Linked DNA regions of Drosophila melanogaster. The protein of the gene in region 2 interacts with the protein of the main gene of each other region in a biochemical or structural test. Each region holds a gene or a part of one and is shown on either strand. Other genes may lie near its edges.

What was found. The genes of interacting proteins can lie anywhere in the genome.
Region 1: the proteins of E(bx) (region 2) and Iswi form a complex in vitro, tested with the Drosophila melanogaster proteins (one study listed by BioGRID).

Annotation. Positions count from the first base shown.
Region 1 is NT_033778.4:12,634,579-12,638,331, reverse strand, and holds the start of Iswi (imitation SWI), read right to left. Parts: upstream 1,662-3,753; 5' UTR 1,551-1,661; exon of another isoform or gene 1,489-1,550; 5' UTR 1,390-1,488; coding exon 1,342-1,389; intron 1,279-1,341; coding exon 1,061-1,278; intron 994-1,060; coding exon 739-993; intron 678-738; coding exon 1-677. Other genes in the region: CG33672 (uncharacterized protein), read left to right, coding at 2,248-2,508; Mvk (mevalonate kinase), read left to right, coding at 2,906-3,753.
Region 2 is NT_037436.4:245,254-249,006, reverse strand, and holds the start of E(bx) (enhancer of bithorax), read left to right. Parts: upstream 1-2,094; 5' UTR 2,095-2,624; intron 2,625-2,683; 5' UTR 2,684-2,790; coding exon 2,791-3,079; intron 3,080-3,531; coding exon 3,532-3,753. Other genes in the region: mthl14 (methuselah-like 14), read right to left, coding at 1-88, 142-331, 386-805, 891-1,006. UniProt on the Drosophila melanogaster protein: Histone-binding component of NURF (nucleosome remodeling factor), a complex which catalyzes ATP-dependent nucleosome sliding and facilitates transcription of chromatin.

The sequences.
Region 1 (3,753 bases), on a different chromosome or scaffold from region 2:
GCATAAGGATGTTCTGCAGTCGCATCTTCTCCACTTTGCCAGCACCGTTCACTACATCAATGTCCTTAAGCAGCACCTTGGTGTACCAGTCGCGTTGCATCTTGGATAGACCCACAAATATTTTCATCTCCTTCTTCGGCTTCAGACGCTTCTCCACTTCGGCCTTTAGACGACGGAGCAGGAAAGGTTTCAGCACGGCATGCAAACGCGTAATCAATGCATCGTCACCCAGGCAGGTGTTCGTGTTGAACCATTCGTCAAAATCCTCTGACGAATTAAACACATCGGGCAGCAGGAAATTAAGCAGGGCCCACAGCTCGTGGAGGTTATTCTGCAGCGGAGTACCCGTGATAAGTAGACGATTAGCGGTCTTAAACTCTCGCAGAATCTCCGACAGCTTCGACTTCTCGTTCTTGATACGATGCGCCTCGTCGATGACCAAATAGCGCCAGTTGAACTTCTTGAATACAGACTTCTCGCGGATACACATCTCATAGGAGGTCACGCAAACGTCCCACTCGCCAGGCATGAGCACATCTCTAATGAAGGTGTTACGGGTGTCCTGGTCACCAATAAGGCAGACGGCTCTGAGGGAAGGACACCACTTTTTAAACTCATTTACCCAATTCTGAAGCGTTGACTTTGGCACGATGACGATGTGTGGTCCAGCTTGATTTCTGCACGCAAATATGGTATTTAGAGATTTCTTTAAAACAATAGATGTTTATGAAAACTCACTTGAAATGCTTGAGGTAACCCAGCAGAGATATGGTCTGCAGGGTCTTTCCTAGACCCATTTCATCGGCCAGAATTCCATTGATACCATTTTCGTAAAGCGAAATCATCCAGTTAAGACCGCGAATCTGGTAGTCACGCATCTCTCCACTTTTGATGTAGGCGGGTGAGGCATCGAAGCGAAAGATCTCCTTGGTGGCCGAGTCTTCCGCCAGCAACTCCTCATCCTCCTCCTGCTCTGTCTTGCGATGACGATGACTGTTTAATACAAAAGTACACCAATAGATAAAGTAGTTGGCTTTTTTATAGGGGGAGTTTAACTCACTCGGCCACATCCTTTTCCTTGTCCTTGTCTTTGATCTTCTTGGGTCTACCCTTAGGCTTCGTGGGACTCTTAGCGCTGTTAGTCATGAAGTGGGTGAATATCTCCGTCTGCTTTAGCAGGAAATCAAAGCGCCTACTGCGATCAGCCTCGATTTTGTTGTCGAACTCAGCCTCCTTTTCACCGGATGAACTGGTGGCCGCATCTGAAGTCGTCTCGTTCTGGCAGAGTTCAGAATATATGTATAGAAGTCCTTAGACAAAGCCTGCTGTATATTAACTTACCGAGTTCTCTTCGGTTGCCTCCACGGCAGCTGTATCTGTTTTGGACATATTTGCAATGCCGGCGTCTGTCTCTAAATGAACTTAATTTTTCCACAAATTTCCCCTCGCCAATCAAGCGTGCTGCACACTGGTGTCGTTTAATGTGAACTGAAAATCGAGTGTGCAACCTGTTAGTTATACTTTCAGTATATAAATAAAAGGCAATTTACACAAAACAATGTTTGTTTCGCTTAAACAAATTGTAAATAATTACATGCGATTTTTTTTAATGAATGGTGGGAAATCTGCGCGTGCTATCGCTAGATTATGCGATGAATGCGCGAAGTTGGCTGCGGCAGCGACGGTGGCGGCAAACAAATCGAGAATACGAACTATCGATAGTTTTGATGGATTACTATGAATGGCAGCACTGGCCGTGTGCCGTTATTATTAGTTTTAGACAAAGCCGTTATTCTGATTAATCAAATAGGTTATCTTTTTAAATTGTTTGCGTTTGTTTAAAAATTATTGCCTAATGTTTAAGTTTGAGATGATGGAATATAGCAGGAATCGAAAAGTCTAATGGGGTCTCATAATATTTTAGAAATAAGCCCTGTGGTGGAAACTGAATCTAAATATGACAATATGTACTACATCGTTTTAGACTTGAATGGCTGCCCCAAACTATATGAACAAAGACAAAATCTGTTAAATTACTTAGACAACCCCCATATTAAAGTATTTAATAGATATATCGCAAGAAACCCCCCGAAAAAGAACATTTAAAATGGTGCTAGGTGTGGCCAAGGTCAGCGCAGATAGAAAAACTACCACCCGGCTTATGGAAAACCTGTTTTTGCCTGAAGCCCAATACGGTCACACAACCACTCCATCACCTCGTTTCGTTTGAAAAAAAAACCATCCAAAATGAGTAAATACGACTCAAAGTACCTCGAGGAGAAGCTCAAACGGGAACTGCAGACGGAGTACGTGAGTGTTACGGACGAATCAGACGGCTGTGGCGGCAAGTTCAGCGCCGTAATCGTATCGCCAGCCTTCAGCGGCAAGACCCTTCTCCAGAAGCATAGATTAGTTAACTCAACGCTTGCCGAAGAACTGAAAGAAATCCATGCATTCTCCCAGAAATCCTACACACCCGAAGAGTGGGAGAAAGTGAAAGCCCAATAGTAGTACCGAATAAAAAAAAACCAACAACACACATACATATACACGAGCGATACAACAACAGCAAACACTAGCCGCAAAAACCTGTTGTTCGTTTTGCTGATGGTTGCGCTTTCCGATCGAAGAGACGAACAAGCCGAAAAACGCCAGTCGCACAAAGAAAGTGAAAGGGAAAGCACAGGAATCGGCAGCCAGAAATAGGAGTTACCGAATAAACAACGCAAATGATCCACTAAATGCATAAGTTACATAAAGAAATACAGCCATAAAAGTTTAACTACTTGTCGCAGGTCGTCCACTCGAAAGGCATTAGCATTACAATTCGAAACAGCTGATAAACCGATAAAGCCATAGCCAAACGGAATACAGAACACACAATACACGGAGATCATCAAGAACAATGCTCAAGTTCCAGGTCCATTCTCCGGGCAAGGTCATACTCCATGGCGAACACGCCGTGGTCTATCATCGTCCCGCCCTCGCCGCCGTAGTGGGTTTGGGCACTACTCTGAGATTTCGGCAGCTGGAGGACAGCCAGGTGGCAAGTTTTCAACTGGAGGCCCTTAACTGCACACTGGAGATCCAGTTGCCGGAGTTCAATGGATTTTTGGCTGAATTTAGGAGTAAATACCCATCAGATAGCACGGCCAATCTGTTGGAAGCCGTCCGCGCAGAGGTGTCCAAACAACTTGAACGATCCGGAGGCAATGCACCGAAGCAGCACACCCAGCGGGCATTCATCTCCATATACTATTTGCTGGCCGGCGCTGTACTCTCCGCACCCGGCGACAAGAAACTGACGCTGCAAACCGGTTTCCAGGTGCAGGTAGACAGCCAGCTAACCGTGGGTGCGGGTTTGGGCAGTTCCGCCTCTTTCGGAGCAGCTTTGGCCACGACATTTCTCATTTTGGCCGGACACTTTGATAGAGACAGCTACTTGTCGGAGGCAAACCAGGCGTTGATCTCGTCCTGGGCTTATGAATCGGAGCGTGTTAATCATGGCACGCCCTCGGGTCTGGACAACACTGTATGCACCTACGGCGGAATGTTGCGGTATGTCAAGGGCCAGGGCTTCCAGTCGCTGAAGATCCAGAAACCACTAAACATCCTGCTGGTGGACAGTCGTGTGAGTCGCAGCACCGCCGACATTGTGGCCAAGGTTCGTCATCTGGGAGATGCCTTTCCGCAGCTCATCGAGGCCATTTGGCAGGCTTGCGAGGAGCTTGTTGCCGCCGCCGTTCCACTCTA
Region 2 (3,753 bases):
TACGCAATAAACGAAGTGTCATGTGCAAATAACTAACTAATAGCAGGCAGGGCATAGATATAAGCATAAGAACGGCAACAAAAACGACCTGAAATAATATTCATCCGTTGGTAAATAGAAAATAATGTTACATTGACTTACTTTTGCGAAGGCAATTTGTTCTTCCACTTGGGTTACACATGTAAAGGCAAACAAGTGTCCTGACTTATCAATATCCAAGCAATAATGTTCCTTCACAGTGTATGATTCGTTGCCAAATTTGTCGATGATTAATAACGAACCGTCTTGCAGAACAAAGAAAACATCGTCTTTGTCGTCGTACAAAAGAGAACTAATTTTGCAGAAGAATTTGTACTTTGATTCAATTTAACATTCGCTTTCATACCTGTTGCACGGATTTCCAATGTCGTAGTCGAGCGTAGTCTCAACCTCCAAATCTTCAATGCAGTTATCGAACAGAACTGCACTTATTATAGTCGGTTCGAAGCTTAAGAGCCCGTTGTCGCACATCGAATCGCTTTGATTTTCCCGATATATATTTAAGTTTTCTCCATGTGGGCAGCATTTTCTTAAACGAGACGATGGTGTTGCAACTGGTTGCTTTCTGTACTTTTCCCGTTGAGAACAGTCCGCCGGATCTAACGGGTTGTCTACAGGACTTTGAACAGGAACAGAGGTTGCGAACCTAGCACCTGATATTGTTGCAGCTTCTGTCGAATATGTTTGAGGTACAACCAGTGTTGAATGTATTGAGGCGTCCAGAACGTCAATCGAAGTGCTATTGAATGTGTCTTCATGGAAAATACTAAGCAAAGCAAAATATATTATAGAAAATGCAAAGATTCCAAAATTAGTATTTTTCGAAAACAAATATTTTGAGTATTTCTTACTTTGAGTTGTTTGATCCCTTCGAACTGTTATTTACAGTGCTTATCTGTGCGGAGGCGTTAAAAAACGTTTGTAAACTGATTAGAGCTAGGAGAAAATTCCAGTGGCCTAGATTCATATTGCCTTTTCAACCAATCTACAAAAAATATATAGCATAAAATGAATAAAACAAAATTGCCGAGTTCGTTTACACAGAAAGTATGTAAACAAACCAAATTTTGACATTAGTTAGGTGGTGTGGGAACTGGTAAGATATGGGCTATCTTATCTGTGTAAGATACCAGTAGAGTGCGTTATCATAATATAACACATGACGTCAGACGAATGTGGTAGCACATTCCTTAGAATTGATCAATACTCGGAAAATTACACTCATCAACTTATACAAAACCGCGTTAAATGTCAATTTTTGCGCACTGATTATTTGATTAGATCATATTTTATTCAATTATTGTATTTTTAAAAATAAACTATTTATGGCAATTATTGTTTACGTACATGTCAAATAATTTATGCTTGCTATTTAAAATGCAACCACTGAGCTTGATTAATAAAGTAATACTAGCGAAAAAGAAGTTTTAATTCTGCAATGGAATCACTTTGTGCAGGCGATAAGATAACGATGTTTTCAGGGCTTCAAAGCAAATTGTTTACCCTAATTTCTTTAACAATAACACATTTCTCAACAAACACAATTAAAATACTTTAATTTAGTATTTTTAGAATAATTTTTTAAAAAATTTAAGTAATAATAATATAAAAACCTTTCCCAGTAAACAAAAAATCGTAACGGCAACTTATTATCGATAACATTTTTAATGGATTTTTCGTGGTCGGCAATTTACGAAATGAGATCACCAGGATTTAAAATGCGAAATTGGGTAGAATGTAATACACTAAAATAAATTTACAAAAAAATACATTTTTTTTACCGCATCAAAAATACCGTTTTAATTTTTAAGATAGTGAGCAAAGGTAAGTTTATTTTGATTACAAGTTAACGGGTTTTCTTTAAACGCCCGCTCAACACGTCGATAAAAATAAAAATACATCTGTCAGTGCGGTTCAGCGTAAATGCCAAAAGCAACCCTGCCTATATCGTTTGTGCAACCATAAAGAATTAGTTCTCCAAGCCGACCGCAAGAGGACGCTTCTGACTTCACGCAATAGAAGAGTCGCTGTGATTGGCCGACTGTACACCGTCTTTAGCTATGTTCAAAACTGTAATGTTAGGTAAAAGTCTCTTTCGCAGTGTGCTGAAGATAGTTAAAAATATTAGAATATATCGTGTTAAATCCTGTGCAATTATTCCGCAACATGCTGGGTAATTTGCGCAGTTAATCCATGTGTTAATTGTGAAAGAAGAGTGACATTTAAACAGACGCAAAAATTTTCACGGTTGCTTAAATGGCGGACAATGTGCGTTGGCTTCATTTCATCGCACTCGCACACATACAATCGAACTTGGTGGTGCTGTCCAGTGCGTTTGCCGTCCAACACTAGAAGCCAAGAATGTGTTTTGAATACATGTACTTAATGTATTTAATCGGAACCGTTATTCTGAACTAAACAAGCTCTTTTGGCGGGTTTTTTTCAACTCCAAATTTGCGCAATACAAAGAAAGTGAACACCCAACGACAAACTTTTGACGATCTGATCGATTTTTCCCCCACATACGCTGTTGAGTAAATGTGTGTTTGAATGTGCCCCGTAAATACATAGCTAGCTGAGTGCGAGTGAGATGCGGTGTGCGTTCCTGTGGCACCGTGTACTAATGGGTTAATTTTCGTTTCAGATCTAATGTGCAGCCTCGCAGCATTAACTTGGAACAATATCTGAGGAGAGTACCCCCACGCACCCCTGCACACAGCCAGATAAATACGCAAGGCGAAAACAAACAAGATGAGCGGTCGCGGCAGCCGTAAACGTGGACGTCCGCCAAAGACGCCCAACGAACGCGCATCAGGACGCTTCAATTACCAGCTTCTCAAGAAGCCGAAGTATCTCAGCGAGGGAAAGTCGCAGCCCAGCACTCCGTCGGCATCCAGGGGCATTTCTCCACAGAGCGACGAGGGCAGCAGGAGCAGCCACAACAACCACACCAATCGCAGTCGCGGGAGCGCCGCTAAGAGGGGACGAGGCCGCAAATCCGCCGTGCAACCGAACACCAGTAGCTACTCTGGAAGGAAAGGTGGGTTAAAGGGGCACCTAAACTCTAACTTGGGAGTCAAGACTTACAGTTTCGCTCTGACTAGTTCGAAGATTAATAGGGAACATAATGTGCCATATATTGATTGCAGTGGAGAAAACTTTGATCGTTTTGAATGGTACTCATACTTCAAACGAGTTTTCCTGTGCGTTAAAGAGCTTCCGCTTCATAAAAGATCAAATTTAATATTTTCGTGACAACCACTACCGGGCGAGTCAGTTTCGATAGGTCTATCTGCTCTAATACCAACGATTATTTTTGAAATCTTACGACAAAAAATCTTTCAGTCTAGTTGGCATGAGTTTAATAACAATTACTTAAATACAATTCAGTAGAAATTGGGTCCACAATAGCAGTGACAGTATGTCAGGTTTTATGCACTTAGGTGTTGGTGAAATCATATTGGTTCTAAGAGCTACTGTTCCTCTTTTCAGGGTACGAGTCGGAGTATCACTACGGGTCAGATTTTGGGGATTCCGAAGAAGATAAATCCGATAATGAGGATGATATGCTGCTTACTCCCAGCGACGACGAGAGCCTAGAAGTAGCCAACGAGAGCGAATCAGAGTTTTCCGTGTGCAGCTTTAACCAAAATGGAGTTGGTCGGCCGCCACGTCCTCCTAGCCCAGAACCTGTGTGGCTGCAGGAAGGTCGTC